Linked DNA regions of Lytechinus pictus. Each later gene encodes a partner of the first gene's protein in a complex. Links are inferred from orthologs where the notes say so. Each region holds a gene or a part of one and is shown in the gene's direction. Other genes may lie near its edges.

Region 1 (7,860 bases):
TAGGAGCTGGACGTCGGACCGGGAAGTTTACTGTCTTACTAAAAACTAAAGTTCAGTATCGAAATTGATGTTGCCTTGCGCTATTTTGTGAGTATGTAGTCTAATTTCATCTTTATATTATTGACGATGTATTTATTATTATTAAGAGGGTCTGAGAGTACTATTTATTCCTTCAACTGTCAGTGTCGTGATCTTTTTGAATAAATGAACGGATACGCGGATACAATTTTACAAGTTGCCTGTCTTAATAAGAAAGTTAGAGTCGGTCCCACACGCTGTAAATTGTGTATCGGACCCAGTCCAGACTCAATCTGATATTCTCAACAAGCATCACGATCACTCCTAGTACCAATGAGGTCCAACATTACATGTATGGACCTCATAGGCGACATCAGTAGTATTTTTGGTTAGGAATCTCTGAGAACAGGATATTTATATATTATAGGCCTATCACAAGTACAAGCTATATTCCTTTCTCTTATTTAAATTATAATTTTATAGTGTAAATGCATCGTTAGCAACAACAAAAAAATGAAAGAAATGAAGGGGAACTTACATTTTCACGGCTTTTTCCTGATTTTCTGGGCAGCTGCTCTTCTCTTCTGACTCGTGATCGAAGCTGATATGAAGATCACGTGATTCGCGTTCTCGTCAGCTGATCGGTTGGTTATTCTTTTCGTCAGACGTTAATAATATATATTTTATAATGCTAGCATTCATCGCTAATTTAGGTGAAAGAGATTGAAGTTAAACAGCGCCAGGTCGGAATCATAATTATTTTGGAAGAGTGTATTTATACACTCGATCTCATACTAGGGAGACCGCGCGGACGTCAATTGCATTCCGCCTTTTGTTACACGCCGCACGGACCTTCAACGAGCAGCTCACAAAAATACGACATGTCTCTCATTATTTTGCCATCACAAAACAAAATAGTCAATATATATCAAAATAAGCCAACAACATCATCATCAAGTATATTCTCAAGCTAATCAATGTCGAAATAAAAGAGATCATGGTGTTTTATCATGCTTTTGAAGCAACGGAAATGACCCCTCACTCACCGGTTTGAACAACGGTTCGTCAGCGCGAGCGCTAACACACGCAAATTCGCATAGGTCGCATTTCCCCTCGAAATGGTCAGAGATTTTGGAGCAAAATTCCACTTTGAAGCATTTTCGACACTTGATCCTCACATCGTATGATCATGATCTATATACCAAAAGAAAGGAAATAATTTGCTCTGTATACTCATATCGGTTTACAATTCACTCGCTTTCGCCAAAAAAAGATATAATGAGAAGTAACATTCCTTCTGCGATAGCGAGAGTACGATTAAAGTCTCTGTACGTAAACCGAGTCCAGTTTGCATTTTCGACGATGCTGAATCCGATTATGACATCATTTTTTCGCATATCCCTGAGGATCATGTGTCGGATTGCAATTCAAAATACCCTTACCATGCGAGTTTTTGAACAGCGAAAAAAGGGCGTGGTAAACCCGATGACGCCAGATTAAATACGCGCTTTCTTAATGACGTCAAGCGGTCCCGCGCCTATGGTCACGTGCCCAACCGGCGCGAGAATTCAAAGTTCATCGCGGGTGTCGCTGTGCGCAATGCTATGGAGTTTCAATGCAATTTTGTCTACATGTACTTTGTGAATGATCGTGAGTGTATCGCTTACACACATGCACGTGGATGATTTGCATTTGCACATGTAAACTTAGTGACTCATCACTGGTGTAATCATTCAACCGTGCATGTATTTTGATCTGTCCATTTATCATCCCATGTTTTACATCAATCTTTGAATTATCTTTGGTCGATATATCAAAGTCTCGCGGCAGCAATCATATTCAACCAAAACAACAATGTAAGTGGAAGAAGACAGTCCAAATAATATTTCATCAAGATGCATCAAGGCCGGTGTGCTACCGAGACCTCGACATTTTTAAATATTTTTTTTAATGAATTTTCGAGCCGGCCAGACTTTGATATATTGACCAAAGATGATGCAACCAGAGAGAGAGAGAGAGAGGGGGGGTTGAGAAGAGAAGAGAGGGAGCAGAAAAAGAGATAAGTTAGATGTAAGGGGAGAGGTCGGAGTAGCAGTGTGATGAGAATTTATGTAAATTGGGTAGAGACCTCGGGGTAGAGACAAGTTCACGTTGTGTAATTGAACAAAAGAGATCAAGCAAAAAAAAAATTGAACGTTGACCATGCTAAATTATATAGTCCTGGATGATGTCAAAAGTCAGAAGGCAGGTGCAATCTACCCCCCCCCCCTCCACCAACCTGTACCTTCATCGGCACAAGAATTTAATTGATAGAATAATAATTTTGCTGTCCGTCTTCGTATATATCCCTCGAACTTCGAAGGATGATAAAAAAAGCCGTCTCTAAGTCCAAATATTTTGCCCATTTCCCGGACTCATTTCTTCATACTTACAGTAGAAAGGCTCTTATAATCCTATATAAAATGATTCCACTTATTCCATATGGAGAGTGTCCTTTTTTCAACCATGGTGTTGGAGGTACTTGTATACCTCTCCATGATTCAACTCTGATCGTGATTCAGCTGTGCATGGACCTTTCGTTGGAATATCCGTTACCATGGTGACCGGCGGCCAAGATAACATGCAGGTGGTCATTGTTTACAAATATCTGGAGACTGAGAATGGAGGTTAAATGCCGCGTCATTCCCAGGGGTCCATGTTCTGAACATGGAAACGATTGTGGTTGAGCCCCGTTCCCACGGTAGTTGCAATGACGGAGTAACTATAATCATATACATGTAGTAAGTTCTTTGGATCCCAGTTTTCAAAGCCTTCACAAATCATAGGAAATTTATCAATTACAACTCGCTATCTACGACAAATATAATAATGACTGTGTTGGAATCAGTTACAACCAAAATGCTAAATAAAAAAGAGGGGTTAGTTATATTTGAAGGGGTGAATCCAGGAATTACCAGAACGGGGGGGGGGGGGGGGGGGTACGCTGTTTGGACGAAAAGAAGTTGGCTGCCACTGTGAAGTTGACAACTCGATAATTTTCTGACAATCAAGCAAAAAGAAATCAAAATGGAGTGGATGGAAACTTGTCGCCCCCCCCCCCCCCACCAGCACTGATTAAAAGCATTTAAAAACAATTTTCAAGAAGAATCAACGAGATCACGAATAAGAAAGAGAATCACACATTAAAAAAAATCAATTACATGCAGAATTGAATTCATAGAACAATAATTTTGCTGGCCGTCTTCGTATATATCCCTCGAACTTCAAAGGATGATTAAAAAAAAAAGCCGTCTCCAAGTCCAAATATTTTGCCCATTTCCCGGACTCATTTCAGTCATTATTTTTCTTCATCTTAATGCTTACAGTAGAAATGCTCTTATATATAATCCTATATGAACTGATTCCACTTATTCCAGATCGAGAGTGTCTTTTTTTTCAACTATGGAGTTCCCTCTCCATGTTTCAACTCTGATCGTGATTCAACTGTGCATGGACCTCTCGGTCCATGAACTGAACATACGTTGGAATGTCCGTTACCATGGTGACCAGCGGCCAAGATAAGATCATTGTTTACAAATATCTGGAGACTGAGAATGGAGGTCAAATGCCGGGTCATTCCCAGGGGTCCATGTTCTGAACATGGAAACGATTGTGGTCGAGCCCCGTTCCCACGGTAGTTGCCATGACAGAGTAACTATAATCATATTAGTTCTTTGGATCCCAGTTATCAAAGCCTTCACAAATCATAGGAAATTTATCAATTACAACTCACTATCTACGACAAATATAATAATGACTGTGTTGGAATCGGTAACAACCAAAGTGCAAAATCAAGAAGGGGGTTAATTATTTGAAGGGGTGAATCCAATTATCAGAACGGGGGGGGGGGGGGTGGGGTTAACGCTCTTTGACAAAAAGAAGTTGGCCGCCACTGTCAAGTTGACAACTGGATACATTTCTGACAATCAAGCAAAAAGAAATCAAAATGGAGTGGGTGGGAACTTGCCCCCCCCCCCCCTCCCACCAGCGCCTGATTAAAAGCATTTAAAACAATTTTCAAGAAGAATCAATAAAATTGATAAAAAAGAGAATCACACAATTAAAAAATCAATCCCATGCTGAAAACTACATGCTGATTCTTCTCATTCTTTGCCTCGCCCCCCCCCCCCCCCCCGCCCCATCTCGTCTCGAATTTTGGGGAATACCTTTTTCATGAGGTGATGATTAAACTTTCTCTGTCTTAGCAGATACACAACTCGATAATGTACTGCCACATCACATGCAAATCACAGACAAATGCCAGACTCTCTCAGACCATGTCAGACATAAATATAAACAAAGGAAATTTCCACGCCGTGTCGTGAGCCACGTGGGAAGGTACATTGAATGGACACACTTTTGATGCACACAAATAATCCCAGACACATTTCATCATAACCTCTCAAGCATTGGTTCTGGACGTTACGATCGCGTCTCTTTCCCCCTCTCTCTCCCTCTCTCTTTCTATGCATTGCATTCGCTCGTGACATGGCTTGACCTAAACCTGACCTAAACGCACCCGTACGGGTGCGTAACTCGAACTTTTGAAGACAGTCGGGGTCAAAGTAATACATATTCATGACCGTGCAGCGTAAAAATCATGGCGCGCTGACATCATTAGCAACATTCGCGGAGACTCCTCCTTACGAGGGAGGCCTTCATTTCCTGAATTGGACGTGAACGCGTATCGTGGATGACCATATTTTGGGAGGTTTTTGAGCTATTATTGGCGGAAAAATGTCAATTTCTCTTCGCTTGTAACTTTGCAGTAAAATGGAATAACTTCAAGAAATTCGGCAGTTGGTATGAGTGAAATTTTCCCTATAAAATGATTACAGTCATAGCACGTAAGTCCAACCCTATCCAAAGATAAAAATTAGGTCCGGTCTCCCTACTCATACCTGACGTAGACGGCGCTATTCAACAAATGCACAATCTTCAATATAAAAAATAAAACAGAAAGAACGCCTTGAACACAGGCCAAAATGCCTAACGATTTCTCCGCGGCATTAACAACTATCGTAAAGGGCGCTCCATTTATCAATAAAGATGGATGCTAAGCTGTCTATGGCGACAAAATTTGCCGCAAATATTTACGAAGAATTGTGAGAAATGGTCTGAAAATGCAACAAAAGAACCGGTGAGTACCGATTAAACATTATCAATTTATTTAATAGAACATATTTAATTACTACAATGTAACAATTTCTAGATAATATTGCTTAGTTCTAAGCTAGGGCGGCCCAAATGCGCGTGAGTGGAGTCCCAGTTTATTAGCACGGGTAAGTACGTATAGGGGTGTCGCCTAGAGTGATCACGATATCTTCATTTTGCCAGCAGATATTATCATAAAAAATATGAGTTCAATGTAGTACTTTACTAGATCTATAGCATTTTGTCGTCAATCTGATGTGGTAAAATTAGGGATATTACTAATAATAAATCCTGTGAGGGAAAGAGGGTGGAAAGTGGGGTTAACAGAAGGAAACTGTCTTTACCTACTCACCAGACAGGAGTTGGTGCAAGGCACGGTGAAAATAAAGATAAACCAAAAAGCAGGCCCAAAGTAACTTGTAGATATGATTACTGGTGTGAAGTATTCTTGGTGTAGATGGCTAGTATTGGTGTGATGTATAATTGCCGCAGCTAGTTGAAACTCGAAGGGCGAAGCAAAGGTAGATTTGTGTAGAAACACAGACGTCCTCGTCTCGCACCGGTCGACTATCAAGTGATCATCAGATCCCTTGGCTGGCCTGACTATGCAGCTATGCTCAGACCTGAGTTGTGCACCCAAGCATGGATGAATGCACAGGGCTTGGGGGTTTGGGTCTATTGTTGTGTGCACACAGCCTCTAGCCCATAGTACATGTATATTCTATGCTCCAACCAAGGAGGTGGTTGCTCCAACCCATCCCACAGTACTACATACTATGTAGGGAGCAGTCGCGCGTGCCCCAGACTGTGGTACATTTTACCACACTGATATAGCCTAGGCCTAAATATCTTATTCTTAATTAGCTCACCTTTTAAGTTTTGAGCTTGAGTTTTTGTTATTATCATTATGTTAATTAACTCTCCACAAAAACTTTGGTCCGTGAAGTTAGGTCACACTTTTTTAGAATGGTTTTCCAGCACAGCATGCATTCGTCTATCGGAATAGAATTTTGAGATCGCGATACCGGCGAAACCCCTTGGCCTTGACCTAGAATAGATCTATCTAACAGTTACATGCAGTAGAGAGGCGCACGGCCAATATGGGAGACTCTCTCCAATAGGGGAGACAATCTCCCACATTGGAGACTTGCTTTGCAAAAGGACAAAAGAAACGACACCAACAAAAGCATGATTTTTTCACCCAAAATTTTGTCTCACTGAGGTCAGAAGCCCATTTGTTTTGTGTGTGATTGACAACAAAAATCCTTATCAAAACAAAAGTAGACGGTGAATTTTTAAAGTAGACGGTGAAAAAGGGTAATTTTTCATGAGGAATCTGCTTATCACATTTTTATTTGCCGCCAAGTTAATCTTTTTGCAGCAAATGTAAACAAAGGAAATTGGACTCCAAAACTGGAGACTGTCTCTGATATTGGATACCCAAATTCTTTACAAAAGTCTCTGATATTGGAGATAATCTCACACATTGGAGACAGTCTCCAATATTGGCCGTGCGCCTCTACTGACATGTAGATCTAGGGCCTAGGGCTAGGCCTACTTCACATTTTCGTCTTATAGTTCATGATAAACAAAATTGATATTGCCGTCATAATGTGGAAACTTTTCTTGAATTGGTTTTGTACAAATTGTGAATATTTTGTGAACAAATTTAAGCCTGATGAATATTTTTTGAAAGTCCGCGCAGTTTAGACACCCCATCATACATGCCGCCGTGCACAGGAAAATTGAAGGCCCGGCGCATGCAACACTTGCATGGGATTGCGCAAATTTAAGATGGCTTTAATAAAATCAAGTCCTTCTACGAAACTGAGCGAACTATGTGAAGTCAATTTCCCCTAATATCGTGAATATCCCTAAAATATTTTTTTCTTGATGACGAAATATGGAGCTTTCATGCCTTTTCCTATTTTTTTCGTCTAAAGAGGGCATGCGATTTATCTTCATAATCATATCAAAGACACTACAAGTAAAAGACTAGATCTAGGCACTAAACTATTTTACCCGTAAATCGATGCAAAGCGTTACGCGAAGTCGGCCAAGTGTCCAATCTTTGTATTGTAAGACTTTGATGGAATGTTTGTTGACAAACGAACATAGGTTCGTACTGCTGGATTCGTTCAAGGCACGTAGAATTTTCTATTTTTTGTTTAATTTGTCATCGCTCTGGATGTGTTACGTGGCTGTATGGCCCCCATGGAGTACTTTTCCTCTAGCTTGTCTTTGTGGCAGCATACAAAGAGCTTTATCCAGCTTTTTTTATAACAATGGATTAAAAAAAGACACCAAATGTTGCCAATTGGAAGAACAAATGTTGATTGGGTTTTTGAATAACCAGTCTTGTATTGTACATTATATATGATCAGAGGTTAACGCCACCATCATGGATTCTAAACGCAAACCAGGGGGCTCTGCTCGAGGGCCTGGACCCCAGTCAAAGAAGGCCAGGGTCCAGGACTTCGAAGACCAGGACCCATCGGTATTCGAGGAAGAGCTGGCCTTGATGGAGCAGATCGAGTCTGAGATGGATTCTCAGGGGACCAATGGATCTGTTGGAGGACCAGGACCATCAGTTAACAATGGTGAATACATTTATATTATATTGACTGGCCTTGAGGGGTACATCAAATA
Region 2 (7,268 bases), on another chromosome or scaffold:
CTAAAATACGTATAGGCCTACCGTAGCCCATCTGTTGCTAGATTTCTTCTCTTATTGACCTGGTTCCAAATGTTTAGAACATGGTTTAGATATTTAGAATCAGGCCAATAATACACTTTCTTAATCGGGGCTAATTAGATATTCATTCAGAGATATGATACAAAACTTAAAAGACAATGACATGCGAAATATTATTTTTTTTACAATGTCAGTTTTTCTTATCTTTAATGATATATTACCTCTTTTGTTCTGAGTATCAAATTTGCCATCACTTATATTTTTCAAATATAACAAAAAAAGGCTGTTAATTGTGAGACAAATGTTCAAATAATGGAAAAGTTGTTAGGCGGTAACTTATTTAATTAATTTGAATAATCTAATAATATTCCAATAATATTCCAAAGCCTAATAAATAGTTTTGGACAAAAATACTGTAATTCAAGCAAATATATTTCAAATACTAGTGCAACACATCTTTCTAATCACCTTTTTAAAGATATTTGGATTTCAAAATTTAAGTTATTAAAAATATTTCCCCCTTTCCTGTGAAATGTGATATTGTATGAAGTTAAATGCAACTCGATTCTATCGCAGTGCTACTTATATCGTTAAGAATTATTTTGTCAGTATTACATGATTGTGTATTCTGATTTTTGTTGAATGTTGGTTTATCAACTTTCAATAATAGATCATTATCTGCATATAATATCCCTGCGAATCTATATGTTTTAATATTTATTACTCTCAGTGTATCCATGTACATGTAGGTCAGTTCATTCTGTAAGTCTATGGCAGAATTATTAGAGTTTGTTCAAACTTAGACCGACAGAGCTTAGCAACATTTATGTACAATTTCAATGAGGCATTTCAAAATCGTCCAAATTCTGGATATATATTTTGTTGTGTGGCTGGCTATCAAAAGCTGTGGGCCAGTCAAAATGATGATGATAATAATAATACTAATAATAATAAACATAGCCTAAAAGGATTCTTGTAAAAAGTTGTACATCCAAATTCTTGACATCATCAGAGTAATATGGCATGATATGGTATCAGAATTTTTCATTTTTCAGGACTTTGTTTGTGCAACTTTGGGAAATAATCTGGTGAGAGATGACTTGTGTCGTGGGAGTTCATGAACACAAGTGTAATATTTGTTTCACCACTGAACATTGTCTGAACACTGTAAACAATATTGCCGAGCTGTGTCGTGTCATGTCTGAGCCAAAGTTGAATAATAATTCATGTCTGTCATCTACTTAATTACTCCCTCCATGTTCGATATCTTTCGTATTTCATACACCTGAAGGTCTCACATCCTATATGCCACTGTATCCAACAATTAATGTTTGTATGAATTAATATACTTAGAACAAATCACAATTGCACTGTTTGGAATTTGTTTCTATGTGTGTAGTAGCATGACACTTTGAGGAGTGTTGCAAGAATGCATTTATGGTGTTAAACCATAGCAAATGAAATGATACTTTCTGTTGCAAGATTCAAACCTACAAACAGTTGCAAGACTTAAGATTAAAGTAAGGACTTAAGTTTGACTTGCAATTGAATGCATTTTTGTGCACCATCCCCTTCATGAGTCTTTATCACCTGTGTAGATTATGATCATCTTTTTTTTTTACTGGAGGATTATCGGTACTTGTATATATTAGTAAAACTATAAACTTTCATCATCATATATAATGGCATATGCAGTATATTATATGTATATTTGTAAATTATTCGATTACCATGTGCAATGTAGCATGTAATGCCCAATACGTGGAAAGTAACCCTATATAATATATCCAGACTAGCATTCTTCATTATTTTCTATCTTTCTTTTGTTATATGTGAAGGGAAATTGATTAATTTAATAATTTATACCGTTCGGTTTGATAGAGTGAATCAGTTACCATCAGTTATTAGTTAGGTGCTTGATATTACAAATGGGAGAGAGAGAGAGAGAATGGTGTAACTGAATTTTATGTCTACTGCTTGAGAATTCCTGATATACAGTATTTAGGGAAAACTGGGGGGGGGGGGGGAGGGGGTGCTTTTCACAAAGATTGATTTTAGTATGACTTAAAGGGGTGTTGCAAGAAACTTGCGATCAATGGCAAGTCATTTTTTGGTCCCTAAATCAATCATATGTCTTGCAGTTAATTGCAAATTAGTGATTGATTGCTAATTTGCTCCTTGAAATAAGAAGTTTACTCTGGTTTGCTACAGCTAACGTTGATCTATCAGTTGTAAAATTGCAACAGAACATTTGCAATTGATCGCAAATATTTTCTTGCAACACCCCCTTAGAGTCGTACTTAAATGCCTAGTTGCTTGCGGTATAAAAGACATGCAGATCAGATCATGCCAAGATGATGCAGACTACTGCGTATTGATTAAAAAGATTGCGTGTGGCATATCATGTACGTGTTGATATTTAAGTGTGACTCTAAGTCATATGTAAATCTTTGTTAAACATCCCCCCCCCAGGTTCTGTTATTCAAGTGAATTATATAGATAATGAAAACAGAGATTTGATTTGAACTGTCTTCAATTTTAATAATAGTTTGTGGACAATCAAGGCATGTTCTGGGCATGCAATGATGGAAGTACCTTGTCCAGCTCATAACATGGAATGATTATTATGCAGAGTCCACCATTTATTATGAGAGCATTCTTTACTAACCAGTGAGTCATTGCTTCGCATGAACAACAGCCTGTTATTAAAATAAAAGTTAAATTTTGTTCAACAGTAACATTGTGAGATTCTACCTACAGACTCTATCCTGACATAATTCTGTTGATACTAATTCATAAAATATAATATTCCTATTTTAAATGATAATTTATTATGTCTTTTCATGGTTTAAATATCTTTTTAATTCTATCAATTAAAGTACATGTAGTTAGTAATTAGTTACAAAGTATGTTCTCTAATAGATAATAGAATGAAGATTTAAAAAACCTGCCAGGCTTTGTTGTGCTGAGTTTTACACTAGAATGGGGAAAAAACAACAATTGGTTCCATCAAACAATGTTTTACAGATAACTTGAAACATGGGATTTCTGTTCTGTACTCTGTTCTAATATTTCCCTTCATGACGAGTGTCTATTATATCAGTTACAAAGATTTTAAATTGTCATTTATGTTTGTTTACATTGAGAATGTATGTTTCAAGTACATTATTTTAATTTGAGGATCAGCTAGATTGTGAAATCATATTCCACTATGGGATAGTTCTCTACCTAGCATCTGTTTTGTGTGTCTAAAGTATTTTTGATCCAGTTTATCCATTACCCTACCTACTTGTGCTGTAAAAATGCAATTTCAAGTTTTCTTGAAGATTCAGCGATTAAATTCCTGAAAAAAATGATTTTTTTTTTTTAAATGGACATTATGTGTTTATTTCATTGTGTTCACTTGAGTGGCCCTTGCCCCCCGCCCCTTCTCCCTCATTCGTATGAGAGAGAAGGCTCATTCTTGGACATGCAAACTCACTATTATTTTAAGTTATTATGATTCATTCAAGTCTTATCAAATCCACTGTTCTTCCCCCCCCCCCCCACCATAAGTGGTCTTGAATACGAGAGAGAGAGAAGTGATTGAGAAAAGTGGAGGCCCGTGTTATATTTACAGGTAAATTTGCATTTGTCGACATTTCATGAATCAACACTTTTAGACCAGATGATATTCTTTAAGTCGCCAGATTTCTGAGGTCATGAAGGATGTATTTTTAAAGGGGGAGTTCACCCTGACAAAAAAGTTTATTGTAGAACTATCGGAAAAATAATTGTAAAAATATTGGTGAACGATTGAGGAAAATTCCTCAAAGAATAAAAAAGTTATTAGTCTTAATTATTTGATCTGTGACGTTATATGCAACTGGCAGCTTCAGTTTCCGTCACATTGTATGGTAAAAAATCAATGAAATGTTTTTTTCAGAAAATTGAAAGTGGTTTTTAATATAGCTTCAGTATATCAATACACAAATTATTTCACAACTACTCCTACAAAGAAAATAAAAAATAAGTCATCAAGAACCATTAACAAATTAAATTTATGCATTTTATATTACATACCATAACGGGGCATTCAGCTGCTTGTTTATGACGTCACAAATCAAAAACTTGAAATTCTAATAACTTTCTTATTTTTGAATGGATTTTCTATAAAACCTTCAATATTTTTCAATTTTTTTTCTGCTTTTTTTACAACAAAGTTTTTTTTTTTCAGGGTGATTGAGCGAAGAAGGGATTGGTGTGCAGTGTACAAGGGAACAATTTTAAAAAGAAAGATTGTAAGCAGGCGAGGCTGTAGGATAGTGCGAGTCACTGTTCTTAATGCCAGTTTTTAGTTACAGTATTTCCGCTATTTATTGGCGAAATACAGTAACAGATAAGTGAAATATATTAACAAGCTATTTTCATTGACTGACCGTGCTTTGGCATGATAGCAGACGACGCTAACAAGGGTAGATAAAGAATAGACAGTCTTTTCATATATCCAAGTAATCGCAGTCAAAACTTCATTTCTTTCTTTTTTTTTACTCTTTAAGATCACGTTGTTAATTGTTATCATTGTCACTGTTGTACAATTATAAAATTCGATCAACAGAGCTATGATAATACACACTTAAAACGGGATATCTGAGCGAATTCATTGGGAGTTCCATCGACAGTCTATTATCTTAACTCATAACTTTTAAATACCCACGCCACATGTTATGACATGTTGTTGTTGTAATCAGCTGATACCTGCCAGTCCATTTCTGAAGTTTGTAGCACATGATTCATGAAAACATCAACGATTTCGATCTGAAGGTAGAAAGTTAACCTCTAGCAAAAAATGTCGAGCAAGGCAGTATCACAACAGCTAATCACTGATCAATTCAGTCAGCAAAAATCAGGACGCATTCTTGAGAAGTCAAAGGGGAAAAGCAAGCAAAATGTAGCTGTTCGAAGCCCCGCAGCAAGCCCGAGGAAATCAGAGAGAACCATCGAAGGTGAGTACCAAGCGGTAGCCGAAATGTACCGCGTAGCCGACATGTACCGCGTAGTCGATTACGATCGAGAGCTGTAGTGTCGAAGGCCAAAAGACCGGTGTTTATGCCAAAAACATTTAAATATGTAAACATTCTGTTGTCGGGCTTTTACTATTATCATATTGCATTGTCGATTGTAGATTATCATAATTTGTCGCAAGAAAAATCAAAAATTGTTTTAACTCAACTCTTGCCACAATGGGAGTACCGTACTAATATTTCAAGTTACTTTTAGATTTAATTTGTTTTCTGCAATTCTTTCTGTAAGTTTTACTTAGTGTGAAGTTACTTCAATTGTTAATTCTAACTGTTATTGTTAATGGTATTTCCATGGATTTCATAATGCCTTGTTGGGTATGCTGAAAAAAGAAAAGAAGATCGCATTTCTGGCTTAGAAATCTACCTTTAATTTTATTTATAAAAAAATTATAATCCAATGTCATGATTCGATTACAGAATACAGATCTATGGGATATAATGTCTTGTGTGTGTGTGATTCCTCATTCTAACAGTATGTATACAATCGATTATAACGTAGGATTCTAAAGTTACTCTGAATTTCTCTCAATTACATACAATCTATTTAATATTTTGTTCATTTAGTTGAGAGTGCTGAAGATCTTATCAGAAAGACAAATCTAAACACACTCCGGGAATTTGATCTGGATTGGAGATATGGACCTTGTACGGGTAGGTTTGCCATATGCTTTCACATTAATTTTTAATATGTAATGAATCTAGTGATAGCCAAAAAGAAGGCATGAAAATTCATTCAAATAAATATCATCTATATCCAGTGATGGAGCCCAGGGTATGTGGCTTTGACTTACAAAGAGATACAATTGATATTAATCTCAACTACATCAGTATCATAATTTTCATGCAGCAGTGCACGCACCATCACAAAACAGATTCAAAACAGAATTACAGTCATTTGGGGGTTACTAAGGGTGAATACCCCCCCCCCCCCAACCCTTGCCGCACTACAATCCACTTTGATACGCTACCAAGATGGAATGCGTGGCTCTTCAGTAAATTCAATAAGTTAATGGCATAGCTCATTGAAAACAAAGGAGTGCACCTATTAGTCCATACAATGGTGCATGGGTGATATTTGAAATACATTTTGATCAAACATGCATTCTATATAATTGGGCCACCAGTTTTCTGTCGATCATGCATTTGATCAGATCAACAGTACAGTACGTGTGTCCTTCTGAGACAAACTCAATGGTTTCTGAGCTATGAGGCTGCGCTTATCACTGAACATTTCATAAAAGTTGTTATATAACAAATTTGCAATTAAAAGCTCCTAGAATCTTTCAATCTAATTGGCTGATCATGAATTAGTTATCAAAATTGTGCATTCTTTATTGTAACAAGTCTTCATGAAATGGGACCCAGATGCCGAGGACAATTTAGGCCTCCCAAATGTTGTTTATTATTATTATTATGTTATTTGGCAAAATATCAAACAAGTCAAATACAATGATAAAAAATAATTGTTACAATAACACAATGATAATACAGTTAACACAAAAAATGATTAAACACTGGATTCATACGGATGAGCTGCCAGGCATTGGGCAAAGTTAACCAAATAACTATAGTCCACAGACCGCCCTAACCCATACCCCATCCAGGTGAATCCACTGTAGTATTTTCATGTGAAATAAACATAACATGCATTTGCATTTAAATTTACATATATATGAAAACAAAGTATTAAATTACTCAGAATCTCAAAGCATAAAATCATGCAAACAAATATCAATAAATACACTGTATATTAGCCTACAAGGTAAAAAATTAAATCAAAGGGAATATGCTGCGAACAATTATCTAAATCACTTTTGGTTGGCTTTGACGTGTGGGTCGGTAGGAGATTGTATAAATTGCAATGAATAATTAAAATTGAAAGTACTGTGATATCTTGGCAAGCAACCCAGCATATATTCAATTTATATTGCATTTAATGTAACATGCTAAATACAACCCCCTGAGATTTAAACTGCAATGAACATGCAATGAACGATACTGCTATTGGAATATTGAAATATTGAAATATTGAAATATTGAAACACGATTGGATATAAATAATGGCCAGTAGTTGATAGAAGATATATTATATATAAAAAGAAACGGTTAAATACATCATAATAAAATATAGATAATTCTTAAATACATAAATATGGTCATATCAAATTTTTGACACTTACTTAGAAT

The links.
Region 2: DNA polymerase delta catalytic subunit-like (region 1) and DNA polymerase delta subunit 4-like share a complex: the UniProt entries of both Homo sapiens proteins name them as parts of the tetrameric DNA polymerase delta complex. The link is inferred for Lytechinus pictus from reciprocal best matches to the Homo sapiens genes POLD1 and POLD4.

What each region holds. Positions count from the first base shown.
Region 1 is NC_087253.1:6,221,772-6,229,631, reverse strand, and holds the start of DNA polymerase delta catalytic subunit-like, read left to right. Parts: upstream 1-4,812; 5' UTR 4,813-4,885; coding exon 4,886-4,904; intron 4,905-5,074; exon of another isoform or gene 5,075-5,197; intron 5,198-7,595; coding exon 7,596-7,811; intron 7,812-7,860. UniProt on the Homo sapiens protein: As the catalytic component of the trimeric (Pol-delta3 complex) and tetrameric DNA polymerase delta complexes (Pol-delta4 complex), plays a crucial role in high fidelity genome replication, including in lagging strand synthesis, and repair.
Region 2 is NC_087246.1:32,444,389-32,451,656, reverse strand, and holds the start of DNA polymerase delta subunit 4-like, read left to right. Parts: upstream 1-4,264; 5' UTR 4,265-4,846; coding exon 4,847-5,003; intron 5,004-5,645; coding exon 5,646-5,732; intron 5,733-7,268. UniProt on the Homo sapiens protein: As a component of the tetrameric DNA polymerase delta complex (Pol-delta4), plays a role in high fidelity genome replication and repair.